Linked DNA regions of Anolis sagrei. The protein of the gene in region 1 binds, or shares a complex with, the protein of each later gene. Links are inferred from orthologs where the notes say so. Each region holds a gene or a part of one and is shown on either strand. Other genes may lie near its edges.

The links.
Region 2: the proteins of TJP1 (region 1) and GJC1 are in contact, whole or in part, in a crystal structure (PDB 3SHW), measured with the Homo sapiens proteins. The link is inferred for Anolis sagrei from reciprocal best matches to the Homo sapiens genes TJP1 and GJC1. Residues at the interface, in NP_003248.3 of Homo sapiens: Lys429, Ser432, Val433, Gly434, Leu435, Arg436, Leu437, Gly449, Val450, Leu451, Val484, Leu487, Leu488, Leu549, Asn551, Gly552, Lys553; in NP_001073852.1 of Homo sapiens: Lys391, Thr392, Ser393, Val394, Trp395, Ile396.

What each region holds. Positions count from the first base shown.
Region 1 is NC_090029.1:6,538,386-6,545,869, forward strand, and holds the start of TJP1 (tight junction protein ZO-1), read right to left. Parts: upstream 3,008-7,484; 5' UTR 2,838-3,007; coding exon 2,495-2,837; exon of another isoform or gene 2,355-2,494; intron 1-2,354. UniProt on the Homo sapiens protein: TJP1, TJP2, and TJP3 are closely related scaffolding proteins that link tight junction (TJ) transmembrane proteins such as claudins, junctional adhesion molecules, and occludin to the actin cytoskeleton.
Region 2 is NC_090026.1:47,648,886-47,656,407, forward strand, and holds the start of GJC1 (gap junction gamma-1 protein), read left to right. Parts: upstream 1-4,502; 5' UTR 4,503-4,796; intron 4,797-7,522. UniProt on the Homo sapiens protein: One gap junction consists of a cluster of closely packed pairs of transmembrane channels, the connexons, through which materials of low MW diffuse from one cell to a neighboring cell.

The DNA of each region.
Region 1 (7,484 bases):
ATCATAAGGGTAGGAAACAGAGAGATATATGGTCATCTGTTGATCAGTAAATTGTGGCAAACGGTCCATCACATTACTGAATCATAGGACTTGTAACTCAGTTTTAAAGGTAATTAAGTTTACAAGTGTGAAATAATGGAGGTGTAAGAGGCATATATTTCAGAGATCAAATTACCTTCAGACACTTATTTCTACCCAACAAGCCTTAGTAGCTGTTACATTTAAAAATAGATTATTATAAAACCTGCAGGGTCCTTAGTTTTTTTGTTTTAATTTGATGTGCATAATTAAGGTGCTAACTACCTTTAGATTAATTAGCCTCTCTCCTGCAGCAATGTGAGAACCTGTAGAGCTAACATACACATATCACTCCTCAGCCTGCTTGAGTCAGAAACAGTTGGCTTAAGGCTACCAACCAAGGTACACCTGGGCAAATGAACTATTGAATGCAGGGAGGCTTGCCTCTGAGTAAAGACGCATGGAATTGTGTTACACTGATCCCTGAAATCACTGGGATTATGCCTGCAGTCCTATCCACATCTGTCCTTAAATCCAGTTGTTTTATATGTTGTCATCTGACTTATGATTATTTCCCCTGAAGGGTATGTAATATTGCAGACTCTGAAGTATGCCAGATTCACTTGCATGTCACAACCCACTTCTATCTATGTGTTTTTCAGTCATCTGCTGACTATATCTTTCTTCAGTCACAATTTTTATCAAATAATCCTTGCTTAATTTCACAGTACATTCTGCAGTGAAAGCGTATTGCTATTTGCATACCTGCCCATCATATATCTCCCAAACCACTAAGGCAGAGTTTCTCAACCTGGGGGTCGGGACCCCTGGGCCACCAAAGAAGGGTCACCAAAAACCATCAAAAATATAGTTTTTTTTCTGTTGGTCATGGGGGTTCGGAGTGGGAAGTTAGGCCCAATTTTATCATTGGTGGGAGGGTCACCATTGGTGGGAAGGGTCACCAAAGACTATCAAAAATATAGTTGTTTTCTGTTGGTCATGGGGGTTCGGAGTGGGAAGTTAGGCCCAATTCTATCATTGGTGGGAGTCAGAATGCTCTTTGATTGTAGGTGAACTAAAAATCCCAGCAACTACAGCTCCCAAATCTCAAGATCTATTTCCCCCATAATACAACAGTGTTCACATTTGGGCATATTGAGTATTCGTGCCAAGTTTGGTCCAGATCCATCATTGTTTGAGTCCACAGTGCTCTCTGGATGTAGGTGAACTACAATTCCAAAACTCAAGGTCAATGCCCAGGAAACCCTTTCTGTATTGGATGTGGGAGTTTTGTGTGCCAAGTATGATTAAATTCCATCATTGGTGGAGTTTAGAATGCTCTTTGTTTATAAATCCCAGCAACTACAACTCCCAAATGACAAAATCAATCTTCCCAAACCTCACCAGTATTCAAATGTGGGCATATCGGGTATTTGTGCCAAATGTGGATCAGTGAATGAAAATACATCCTGCATGTTAGATATTTACATTACGATTCATAACAGTAGAAAAATTACAGTTATGAAGTAGCAATGAAAAAAATGTTATGGTTGGGGGTCACCACAACATGAGGAACTGCATTAAGGGATTAGGAAGGTTGAGAAACACTGCTGTTGAACTATCATACACACATCAGTCCTTAGCCTGCTTTTGCCAGGAACAATTGGCTTAAGGCTGCAAACCAAGGTACACCTGGGTAAATAAACTATTGAATGCAGGGAGGCTTGCCTCTGAGTAAAGATGCATGGAATTGTATTAAACTGATCCCTGAAATCACTGGGATTAAGCCTGCAGACCTATCCACATCTGTCCTTAAATCCAGTTGGTTTATATGTTGTCATCTGACCTATGATTATTTCCCCTGAAGGGTATGTAATATTGCAGACTCTGAAGTATGCCACATTCACTTGCATGTCACAACCCACTTCTATCAATGTGTTTTTCAGTCATCTGCTGACCATATCTTTCTTCAGTCACAATTTTTATCAAATAATCCTAGCTTAATTTCACAGAACAATACATTCTGCAACACAAAGTGTATTGCTATTTGCGTATCTATCTTCTCTCTCTCTCAGACCACTAAGGCAACGTATCTGCAAGTGTACACTGAATAGTCTACTGAAGTATTAAAGTGGCCACTACATAATCAAATTAACATTTTCCCCGACTTGAGAATATTTATTATCAACCAGCTGGTTCTTCTGCATCGTTGATAATCCCAACTGATGGTATTAACTCATTTCTATTTTACTACCATGGCTTCTACAGAGAGATTTAAAGCATTTTCTATATCCCCCACAATTATTTCTGTCCTCTTCTTCTGTTTCTTTCAACAGAGTAGCTATAATGAGAGCAAGCGGAGGAGCACAAGCGAGAGAAAGTAACTTCTAATTATAGACCATTTGTGTGGAAGGATTCGAAGGCTCTGCCGATAACACACTTGGAACATTTCAGACGGCAGGACCTATGACCTTACCTTGGTAGCCAAGGAGAACGGAAATGAACGAGTGGGGACAGACCTCCTCCAGCACCGAGCAGAACGCGGACAGGGCACCGGGCCCTTTGCAAACCAGTTTCTCTAAAAAATAGGCAGCTTGCTTCTCGCAGCACTCCCGGGACAAAATGTCTTTGTACTCCTCCAAGGAAAAGACTCTCTCATAAACCAGATATGACAGCACTTTCTGCACATCCAGCTCTCTCACGATTCTCTCCCTGTGGTTGCTTAGGATATCAGCAAGCCACTGGTTCCTATCTGTGCTTTCTTTTTTGGTTGGTTTTGCACAGTTATAAAACCAAGACCGGACCGGCCACCTAAACATGTTTGCATTTAAAGCTAAAAATAAATAAAAAGAAAGGATTGCCGCTCTCTGTCAGACGCTTGCAGCCTTCCGGGGTCTATAGGCACGCCGTGGGAAGGCAAGGGGGTATCGCCTGCCGATAGATAGGGCAATTTGACTGGAAAAGCAGAGGCCTAGGTTCGAATTATAAAAGCACAAAAAGCAAAAGAAACTGCCACGCACAGTGCTTCCAGCTCCCTAAGAGGATTACTTTACACTAATTAGCCTTTTACAAGCGTTAATAGGCATCTCCACAACCACAAAAAGGCAGAGAGGAGAATAGCTGGGCTACTGTTCACTTTGTAATTCTCTAAACCGCTTCGCAACAAACAAAACGAGTCTATTGTAGAAAGTTACACTGAAGAAGACAGGATATCAAAGCACTTATCCATTGCAGGCAAGTATTAAAACAAGAAACAAGGGCACAGTTTTAAGTGGATACTAAGATTTCTGCCTTGTTGGGCTGGCCTCCCAAATAATACTGTGATAGTGATGGTCCCTTTTAAGTAGAATTGCACAAGTGATATACCCGTATATACTCGAGTATAAGCTGACCCGAATGTAAGCCTAGGCACCTAATTTTACCACAAAAAAACCTGGGAAAACGTATTGACTCGAGTATAAGCCGAGGTGGGAAATGCAGCAGCTACTGGTCAATTTCAAAATATAAATACCAATACAATTACATTAATTGAGGCATCAGAAGGTTAAATGTTTTTGAATATTTACATAAAAGTGTAATTTAAGATAAGACTGTCCAAGTTTGATTAATCCATTATTCTAACCTTCTGCTTATGTATTCTTCCGATAATAATAAAGAGAGTGAAATAATAAATGTAATAATAACAATAATAAAACAAAATAATAAATGTAATAATAAGAGTAAAATAATCAATGTAATAATAACAATAACAACAGAATTCAATAATAAATTATCTTGACTCAAGTATAAGCCGAGAGGGACTTTTTCAGCCTAAAAAAGGGCTGAAAAACTAGGCTTATACTCGAGTATTTACAGTATTTGTTCTTATGCATACATAAGCAGAAGGCCTAGGACTTGTTCTTCATGGGTGTGTACTGTTGGAAAAAGACATTTGTGAGGAGCAGGGAAATAGTCTAAATCTTTTTGGAAACTTGCATTTACAATGTTTAACACTGATTGTATCTTTTGTGATTCCAGAATTATTGGATGATTGTTTTTTTTAAAAAAAAAACTCTCATAAATAGCATCTACTTAATGAATTAGGATTAAGGGGAGAGATTCTGACAGCTTCAATGTAGGTGTACTGCCAGTAGTAATTATTCACTGAGGATCAAACTTGCGTAACAACCCTGCTTCACATATACCCATAGTATTTACTCGAGTCTAATATGCCATCGAATCTAATGTGAAGCTCAATTTTCAAAATTCTGAAACCAAGAAAAAAAAAAGTATTTGCTGCCGAATGTGATATGCAGTGGCAAAAAGTGTAGTTTTTGTAATTTGGCCAAAAAAAAAAAAAAAGACATGCATTACTGTTGCTGACTGATTAGGATTCCTTCATTTATTTTATTTATTTACTTCTGGTATTTCTAACCCGTTCCTTCTCAGCCTCCAAAGAGGGATTCAGGACGGCTTACATTTGACAGCAATTCAATGCCACTACAAATAACACGGCATTACTGAACAAGGAACGTCTAAAGGATTATGAGAACGAGATCTGATTTCATTCAGGCGTAGATGATTATTTGTTGTATGTCTGTATATGTTATGTCTTATTTACTGTAATTGTTATTAATCGCACTGTAAACCGCATAGAGTCGCTGTATCAGGCTGATATATGCGGTATAAAAGAAAAGCAAATAAATAAATAAATAAATAAACACTTAAAACAATAAGTAAAACATCTCTTTTGGAAGTCATGCTTCCAAAAAGCCTGTGGAGATTCCTGGTTTCCCCAAAATTCCTCTCTCCTCGCTCATTTCATCTTAACAAACAACTTAGTGAGGTAGGCTAGGCAGGGAAGCAATGACTATCACAAGGTCACCAAGCCAACTTTGACGTGCGAAGAACCGTGTTTACACATCTGTTTCGACAGGCCTTTGATTTTTGATATTGCTGTTTTTAAATTGTTTTAAATTGTTTTTAAATTGTGTTAGATTTTAGCCTGTTCTTGTAAGCCGCTCTGAGCCCCAGGGGAGTGGCGGCACATAAATTTGAACAATAAATAAATAAAATAATCTAGCAACTTCCTGAACTTAAAAAAATAAGCAACATAATTTCATCTATGCTGACGATCATGCCATCACCAATGAAGCAGGGAGCTTTGAAATGATGATGATGATGATTATTATTATTAACTTTATTTGTACCCCGCTAGCATCTCCCGAAGGACTCGATGCGGCTTACATGGGTCGAAGCCCATGAAATGGTTGAACAGAAGCTCTCTGAAGCTTTGGGTGCTCTTACTACCTATTACAGGAAAAACCAGCTGACTCCTAATTCATCTAAAATGCAGATGTGTGCATTTCATCCAAAGAACAGACAAGCATCTCGAGCTCTGAGGATTATGTGGGAAGGAATCCTATTGTAGCACTGCAGCACAGGAACACCTCAGCAAGCAAGAGTCCAAAAGTGGCAGGTTAAAACCCAGAATCAGTGGCTGAGACCAGATGAGAAACTCCCTCCTGGGCACACAGAAGACTGGGAGACTTGGAAGGTGCTGAACAGGCTGCACTACTGCTCCCCTCAACTTTTCTGTCACTGGAGTACACGCCCCCCACATGGGAAGTTTAGTTCACAACCCTGTGTTTCTTTATCAGCTCCCTGCAAATAACTTGCTTCTATTCTTATCTCATTAGAGTTTTTAAACATTTTATCCTGTACATGTGGTCCGCCCACATGTGTCACTGTGATTGTGTTTATTTTTATTGTAATGTTATTTTGTTACTGTATTCATATGTTTTTTTCCATGTAATTTTGATGATGTTGCTTGTTGTTTATGTTTTGATTTTATTTTTGCTGTAATATGTTGTCTGGGCTTGGCCCCATGTAAGCCGCTCTGAGTCCCCATTGGGGAGATAGTGGCGGGTATGAATAAAGATTATTATTATTATTATTATTATTATTATTATCATCATCATCATCATCATCATAAGATGCAGCGCCAACCTTAAAAAATGGGGCCACAGAGTGGAGTCCAGGAGTGTGCAGAAGAGCAAACCACAGACAACTTACTATAATTCAGTCTGAGCCCTGCCACATGCACAATGGAGGACCTCCTTACAGCAACAGTAGAACCACTCCAAGTGGCCAGCTTCTGGTCAACCACAATTCAAGAGAGATATTGACAAGCTGGAATGTGTCCAGAGGAGAGCGACTAAAATGATAAAAGGTCTGGAGAACAAGCCCTATGAGCGGCTTACGGAGCTGGGCATGTTTAGCCTGAAGAAGAGAAGGCTGAGAGGAGATATGATAGCCATGTATAAATATGTGAGAGGAAGCCACAGGGAGGAGGAGGGAGCAAGCTTGTTTTCTGCTTCCTTGGAGACTAGGACGCGGAACAATGGCTTCAAACTACAAGAGAGGAGATTCCATCTGAACATGAGGAAGAACTTCCTGACTGTGAGAGCCGTTCAGCAGTGGAACTCTCTGCCCCGGAGTGTGGTGGAGGCTCCTTCTTTGGAAGCTTTTAAACAGAGGCTGGATGGCCATCTGTCAGGGGTGATTTGAATGCAGTGTTCCTGCTTCTTGGCAGGGGGTTGGACTGGATGGCCCATGAGGTCTCTTCCAACTCTTTGATTCTATGAAAGGAAATTTAGTATAATGCCAAGTTTTTAACTTTGTTTGTATTTTAAAATACATTATAACTGCACCCTCAATTCGCTTCTGACACGATAAATAAATAAGCAACAGGATGTATTTGTTTTTGAAGTAGTAAACTGTGATGTGTTATTTAAACATTTAAAAACTACAGGATGCATCACCACATACATACCTTGTGTTTTTGGAGAAAAATACACGGTGCCTAAAGTCTGTTTCTGGAGCAAAATTTTCTGAGATACTGCCATCTTGTGCTTGTCTCCAGATATGGCCATCTTCTATCTGAAGCAAAGTTTGTTAACTTGGAAGAACTTCACGAGAACCTGGAAATAATATTGATATATTAGGGGACAATTAGTGATTATGAGGACCTTCCGTCATACCATACCTCTGTACATTTGCAGATTGCCTTAATTGAAAGGTTCGGGCAAATGCATTTCTAAGTCTGTACTACTTTTCCACTTCCACCTTTGGAAGGTTTAGTGTGAAGATGTAAGATGGCCAAGCTATGTGTTCACATAAAACATTTTATCTCCCTCAGATAATGAGTAATATTGTAGAGCAAGCATGGGCAAACTTGGGCCTTCCAGGTGTTTTGGACTTCAACTCCCACAATTCCTAACAGCCTCAGGCCTCTTCCTGGAAGAGGCCTGGGGCTGTTAGGAATCGTGGGAGTTGAAGTCCAAAACATCTGGAAGGCCCAAGTTTGCCCATGCCTGAGGCACATCTGGTTATAAAACTATTATAATAGTTATTGTTGTGTTTCCAGATTTAAGGTGTATCCACTCGGTGAATGCAGGTAGACATCACTTGGCCAGCCATGACTC
Region 2 (7,522 bases), on another chromosome or scaffold:
AAAAGAGAAAGAGGGAGGGAAGGCTGGTCACAGCAACGCCTGGCAGGTATAGCCAAAACAACTCCCTAGCAATCAAAACACACAATAACATATCCATACTTACTTCCAGACTACAGCTCCCAGTATTCCCCAGACCAGGCCCTTTAGGAGAGGAAGATGGTCCAAATGCACTCCTTCCAAGCTGCGAGCTTTCTTCTCCTTGGATTTCTTTGAGAGCATCCCAATCCCTGCATATTTCCCATTCCTGGACTGCAACTCCCAGCAATCCTCCAGATAGATACATTAGATAGACATAGGTAGGTAGGTAAGTAGGTAGATAGATAGATTGATTGATCAGTACTGCTGGGAGTTGCAGTCCAAGAATAGGTAGAGAGAAGGAAGAAAGAGGAGAAAGAGGAAGGGAAAGAAGGGGGGGGAGGAAGAGGGAGAGAAGGAAAGAAAAAAGGAAGGAAAGCAAAAGAAAGAAAGAAAGAAAGAAAGAAATGAGAAAGAGGGAGAAAAGGCTGGTCGCAGCAACGCCTGGCAGGTACAGCTAGTAGATATATAAACCCAATTTTCGTATTTCCTACAGACCTCACAACCTCTGAGGATGCTTGCCACAGATTATTATTATTATTATTATTATTATTATTATTATTAAACTTTATTTGTACCCCGCTAGCATCTCCCGCAGGACTCGATGCGGCTTACAAAGGCCAAGGCCTCAACACAACAACAGCAAACAATAACAATACAATTTAAAGCAACATAAAAACATAAGCAATAAAAAACAATATATCAATTACGCAATAAAAACCAGGGCCAGGCCAGTGATGGGTACAGGTTAAAAAGTGCTGGGTGTGGCAGGCGGTATGTTGGATTTCCGGGCAAGTGCAATGTGCAGAGAGTCTTAAACTCTAATAAAGTGCTTCTGGGAGGTAGTGCTGGAGATTATCCTAATCCGGAAAGGCACATCGGAATAGCCAGGTCTTCAGATTCTTCCTGAAGACTGCCGACGTGGGTGCTAGTTAGTCTAATGTCTTTGGGGAGGGTGTTCCAGAGTCGGGGGGCAACCACAGAGAAGGCCCTGTCCCTCGGCCCCACCAAAAGCAGGGCCTCTCCAGATGAACGAAGGGATCGCGTGGGTTCATACACGGAGATGCGGTCACGCAGGTAGGCAGGTCCCAAACTGTTTAGGGCTTTGTAGGTAAGCACCTGCAACTTGAATTGGGCTCGGTAAGTAAACAGCAGCCAATGGAGTTCCCTAAACAGAAGGGTTGACCTCTCCCTGTAAGGAGCGCCAGTTAACATCCTGGCCGCCGCCCGTTATACCAGTTGGAATTTCCGAGCCGTTTTCAAGGGCAGCCCCACATAGAGCGCATTACAGTAATCCAATCTAGAGGTGACCAAGGCATGGACCACCCCAGCCAAATCAACCTTTGTGAGGTACGGTTGCAGCGAAATGTCAGAAGAGAATGCTTCTAGAACATGGCCATATAGTCCGAAAAACCTACAACAGCCCAGTGTTTCCAGCCATGAAAGTCTTCGACAATATTTTTTCCTGGGTATACTTTTTGATCGTATTTGACATTGTAGCTCAAATACGTTTTGAAGTTGTTGTTTTTCCTACAAAGTTCTTTCCAAACAAGTGAGTCCACACTGCCATATATTCCAGTTCAAAGGAAATCATGTGTCTAGATCCAGGGAAGTCATGCTACCCCTCTATTCCGCCTTGGTTAGACCACACCTGGAATATTGTGTCCAATTCTGGGCATCACAATTGAAGAGATTTATTGACAAGCTGGAATGTGTCCAGAGGGCGACTAAAATGGTCAAGGGTCCGGAGAACAAACCCTATGAGGAGCGTCTTAAGGAGCTGGGCATGTTTAGCCTGAAGAAGAGAAGGCTAAGAGGAGACATGATAGCCATGTATAAATAATGAGAGGAAGTCATAGGGAGGAGGGAGCAAACTTGTTTTCTGCTGCTCTGGAGACTAGGAAGTGGAACAATGGCTTCAAACTACAAGAAAGGAGATTCAATCTGAACATGTGGAGAACTTCTTGACTGTGAGAGCTGTTCACAGCTGTTCAGTGGAACTCTCTGCCCCAGAGTGTGGTGGAGTCTCCTTCTTTGGAAGCTTTTAAACAGAGGCTGGATGGCCATCTGTCAGGGGTGCTTTGAATGCGATTTTCCTGCTTCTTGGCAGGGGGTTGGACTGTGGTCTCTCCCAACTCTATGATTTTAAGCCACATCTTCTGGTCAAGTGTCCCAGAGGTGCCTAAAAGGTCCTTGCTTGATATCAGCTCTCACAATTTCAATGTCTTTATAGAAATCCTGTTAGTAAACCTACAGAACAAACTGTTGAATGGTGGTCAACACATAGGTAAATCCAGTTGATTCAATGAGTACACTCTACACAATATCAACAATAGGATTTAGCTTCTTGTTTAGCAAATTTCCTCATAGCAGCTTACAGGTAGCTTCATTTAACATAAAGTTAAAAGAAAACCAGTTTTCTGGAGTGTTGTGTGGTTCTCAGGCTGTGAGAGCTGTTCAGCAGTGGAACTCTCTGCCCCAGAGTGTGGTGGAGGCTCCTTCTTTGGAAGCTTTTAAACAGAGGCTGGATGGCCATCTGTCGGGGGTGCTTTGAATGCAATTTTCCTGCTTCTTGGCAGGAGGTTGGACTGTGGCCTCTCCCAACTCTATGATTTTAAGCCACATCTTCTGGTCAAGTGTCCCAGAGGTGCCTGAAAGGTCCTTGGCTTGATATCAGCTCTCACAATTTCAACGTCTTTGTAGAAATCCTGTTAGTAAACCCACAGAACGAACTGTTGAATGGTGGTCAACACATAGGTAAATCCAGTTGATTCAATGAGCACACTCTACACAATATCAACAATAGGATTTAGCTTCTTGTTTAGCAAATTTCCTCATAGCAGCTTACAGGTAGCTTCATTTAACATAAAGTAAAAAGAAAACCAATTTTCTGGAGTGTTGTATGGTTCACAGGCTGTGAGAGCTGTTTAGCAGTGGAACTCTCTGCCCTAGAGTGTGGTGGAGGCTCCTTCTTTGGAAGCTTTTAAACAGGCTGGATGGCCATCTGTCGGGGGTGCTTTGAATGCATTTTTCCTGCTTCTTGGCAGGGGGTTGGACTGGACGCAGGGGAGGCTCGTCCATTACGCGAAGTAAGCAGTCGCAGAACACTTTTTTTTGCCAGGGGCGCAGAGGCGCCTCTGTAAATGCCCCCTGACCGCCACTTGAGGAGCGCCCCCTCAGCTCACAACAGCCCTAGCAGTCCGGGGGGGGGGGGGAGCCTCGGTTTTCTTGCCTCACTGCGGGGGATCCTCTTCCCAAAGGGGCCGGGCCCTTGAGCCTTGCCTAGCCCCTCTCATTCCTGCTCCACCCAGCCACTGGGTGTGCGAGCAGAGCCGGCGCTCAATCGTTCTCTGCGTTCGATCCCTTCCCCATGACCAGCTCCCTTTCCCGATCCCCTGGCGCTCCACTCGCCTCCTCTCCTCTCCTCTCCCCAATCCGCGTGTGGGCCAAGGGGCGGAGCCGCCACGCCTGGCCCGCTTTGGGTCCAGAGGCGTGTCTGAAGACCCCAGCGTGCGCACCAAAAGTCACCTCTTCTCCTGACTTTCTCTTCAGCCATTGGGACCAAGAGAGAGAGAGAGAGAGAGCCCCTTTGGCTGGAGGTATCTCCCACCTCCGCTCCCTCCTTTGTTTTTGCGCCTATCTTCCAGGAAAGGTGGGCATCTCCACCTCTGTCTCTGTCTCTCGGTCCCAATGGCTGAGGAGAAAGTCAGGAGAAGAGGTGACTTTTGGTGCACACGCCGGGGTCTTCAGGCACGCCTCTGGACCCAAAGCGGGCTAGGCAAGGGAGCAAGTGCGGCAAGTGTAGTTACTGGAATGTATAGTTCACCTACAATCAAAGCGCATTCTGAACTCCACCAATGATGGAATTGAACCAAATATGGCACAAAGAACTCCCACGACGAACAGAAAATATATATCAATGATTGATTGGGGGGGGGGGGCAAAATACTGTTTGCTTACCGTTGAAAATTACCTAGGGCCGCCTCTGATTCCACCTGAACATGAGGAAGAACTTCCTGACTGTGAGAGCTGTTCAGCTGTGGAACTCTCTGCCCCAGAGTGTGGTGGAGGCTCCTTCTTTGGAATCTTTTAAACAGAGGCTGGATGGCCATCTGTCAGGGGTGCTTTGAATGCATTTTTCCTGCTTCTTGGCAGGGGGTTGGACTGGATGGCCCATGAGGTCTCTTCCAACTTTTATGATTCCAAACAAGTGAGTCCACACTGCCATATATCCCACTTCAAAGCAAACCATGTGGGATTTGATTCAGCTGTTTGGAAGGGGTCCCATTCCTGCAAAAAAGGAAAGCAGATCCGTGTCTTTTGCAAATGCAAATGCTTTGTTTGTGGGAGCTGAGAGGAACCCGCTTGAGCATGCCAAAGCAATGTGAATGGGAAGGAAAGCATCTCTCAAACTCCTTTCCAAAGTCCTCCTCCTCCATCTGAGGAAGGTTTGGCGGTTTGGCGCCGTTTTGCACGAACCCACAGACACGCCAATGTTGCCAGTCATGAGGCAAGCGATCCCTCCAAAGGGGCCAGAGGTTGTCGGAGGTGGATGTCATGAGGGCGGGAGTGCAGCCTCCCTCTGGGTCGCTTTCGCCTTCTGCACGTTGAGGAGAAACAGAGAGGAAAAGAGGAGGAGGCAAAAAGAGGCTCCCCGAAGGCGGGATGGCGGCGACGGCGGGACCGAGCTCCTTCGAGACGCTCTTTGAGGGGAAAAGGCGGTGAGTCCGGGGAGAAAGAAGTCTGGGGGGCATTGAGGCATGGGAGCCCTGCTCTGTGGGAAAGGGGGCGCTGTCCCCTCTTTAGCTCCACCCTCTCCCCTCACCCCAAAGATCAGGGAGGCTCTCTTTCCTGTCTTGTGAGGGGTTTCTTTGGAGGAGGAGAAGAATCCTCAAATCTGGAGGGAACTCTGTTGGAAGAGAGACTTCAGCCACCCCCAAATATCCCCTTCCACATTGCCCTATATCCCAGAGCATCAAGGCAGAAAATCCCACAATATCTGCTTTGAACTGGGTTTTCTGAGTCCACACTGCCATATATTCCAGTTCAAAGCAGATAGTATGGGATTTTATTCAGCTGTGTGGAAGGGGCCTGGAATTGGGAAGTGTCCGACGTGTGATCCAATACAACAGCCAGCAGAGTGTCTGCTGTGAACTCATCTTGTTGTGTTTCAAATAATAATATATAATATAGGACATTTAATCAACTCCCAAACTCACAAATTTTGTATTTTTTCTGTTTGTTTGCTTTGTTCTGATAGAAATGTCATATAATTGACTGGTTGCCCTGGCACGACAAATAAATAAATAAAATTATAATACAATATATAATGTAATATATCATACACACACACATCTATCTATCTATCTATCTATCTCTATCTATCTATTCTATATATATATATATATATATATATACACACACACACACACACACACACACACACACACATGCTCTGTGCATAATGAGTTCCTTAAAAACAAAAAATCCAATGAACGAAATCACACCAAATTTGGCAACAAAACGTCTCACAACACAAGAAGTGACCATCACTCCAAAAATTATGATTTTGTCATTTGGGAGTTGTAGTTGCTGGGATTTATAGTTCACCTACAATCAAAGCGCATTCTGAACTCCACCAACAATGGAATTGAACCAAACTTGGCACACAGAACTTCCTTGGCCAACAGAAAATACTAGCAGCACTTAGGGGGCATTGACTTTGAGTTTGGGAGTTGTAGCTCACCTCCATCCAGAGAGCACAAACAATGATGGATCTGGACCAAACTTGGCACGAATATTCCATATGCCCAAATAAGAACACAGATGGAGTTTGGGGAAAATAGACCTTGGCATTTAGGAGTTGTAGTTACTGGGCTTTATAGTTCACCTACAATCAAAGACTATTCTGAATGAACCCCATGAATGACAGAACTGGGATAAACTTCCCACACAGAACCCCCAGGACCAACAGGAAATACTTAAGGCCATCCAGTACAACTCTCTTCACTAGGGCAAGAAAATGTAATCAGAGCCCTCGTGACAAAGAGCCATCCAGCCATAGATAGATAGATAGTAGGGCTGGGCGGTTTCGTTAATTCGTAATTCGTTAAAAAATCGTTTTTTTTAATAACGAAGCAATAACGAATCCTTCTGGAGCAACTTAAAAACGAAACGAATTTTTAAATTCGTTTAATAAATGCTTCGGATTCGTTATGTATTCGTTTCGTTATCGGTTTGAGGTCGTTTCGTTATTATTTCCGCACGTCTGGGGCAAGTTTTATCGTTGTTTTTTGTTTAATTAGTGAAAAAAAATTATAATATCACACCAACAGTCAACAACAGAGGGAGAGGGAAGCTTCAGAAGTTCCCCCTGTCCCATTTGGAGGTTTTTTAGCGTATTGCGCGGTCGCGTCCGCCATTAAGGAATCGATTCGTTATTGTTTCATATTTGTTTCATTAATGTTTCGTAATTTTTTTACATTTACGAAATTTCGTAAATATCGAACTTTTTAAAAGAAAAATTTCGGAATTCTTTTAAATATCGAAACGCAAAAACCCCCAAGAAACGAATCGATTTTAGGAACAAATTTTTCCGTTGTTACCCAGGCCTAATAGATAGATAGATATGATTTGCACACACACACACAGATATAGTATCATAGATTTGAAAGGGACCCCTAAAGAAGGACTATGATATGTTGCATATTCCAGAGTAGGCAAACCAGACACTCTCCACAGCAACACTGACAAAGAAGCAACAAGACATACTGTTTACCCACAAGCATAAAAAATAAATAATAAACTTTATTTGTACCCCGTTACCATCTCCCCAAGGGACTCGGTGTGGCTTACATGACGCCAAGCCCACAATACATCAATATAAGCAATAACAACAGCAATAAAAACAATTAAAATAAAGCTCATAAACAAAAAAGCAATAAACAGTGACAGTAATACAACACACATTTACACCTATGGCTGGGCCAAATGTAATTAAAGTTTAAAAAAATAATGCTAGGCATGAACAAGATAGGAGAGATGGGGCGTTGGTGAGAGCGTACAAACAATCCTAAATCAGTGTAAAGAAATTACATATATTAGAAACTATAAATCTCAACAACTACAACTCTCAAATGACAAAATCATAATTTTTTGAGTGATGGTCACTCCTTGTGTTGTGAGACGTTTTGTTGCCAAATTTGGTGTGATTTCGTTCATTAGTTCTTTTGTTTTTAAGGTACTCATTATGCACAAAGCATTTTTATATAGAGAGATTATTATTATTATTTTCTGTACACTGTAGAATTAATGCAGTTCAAAACTACCATATTTACTTGAGTCTGATGTTCATCTTCTTTGGCTAAATAATGTTGCCAAAATTAAGGTGCGAATTAGACTTGAGTAAGAGGATGACAGGCCCAATAGTGCAGGCAAGGTCCCATTA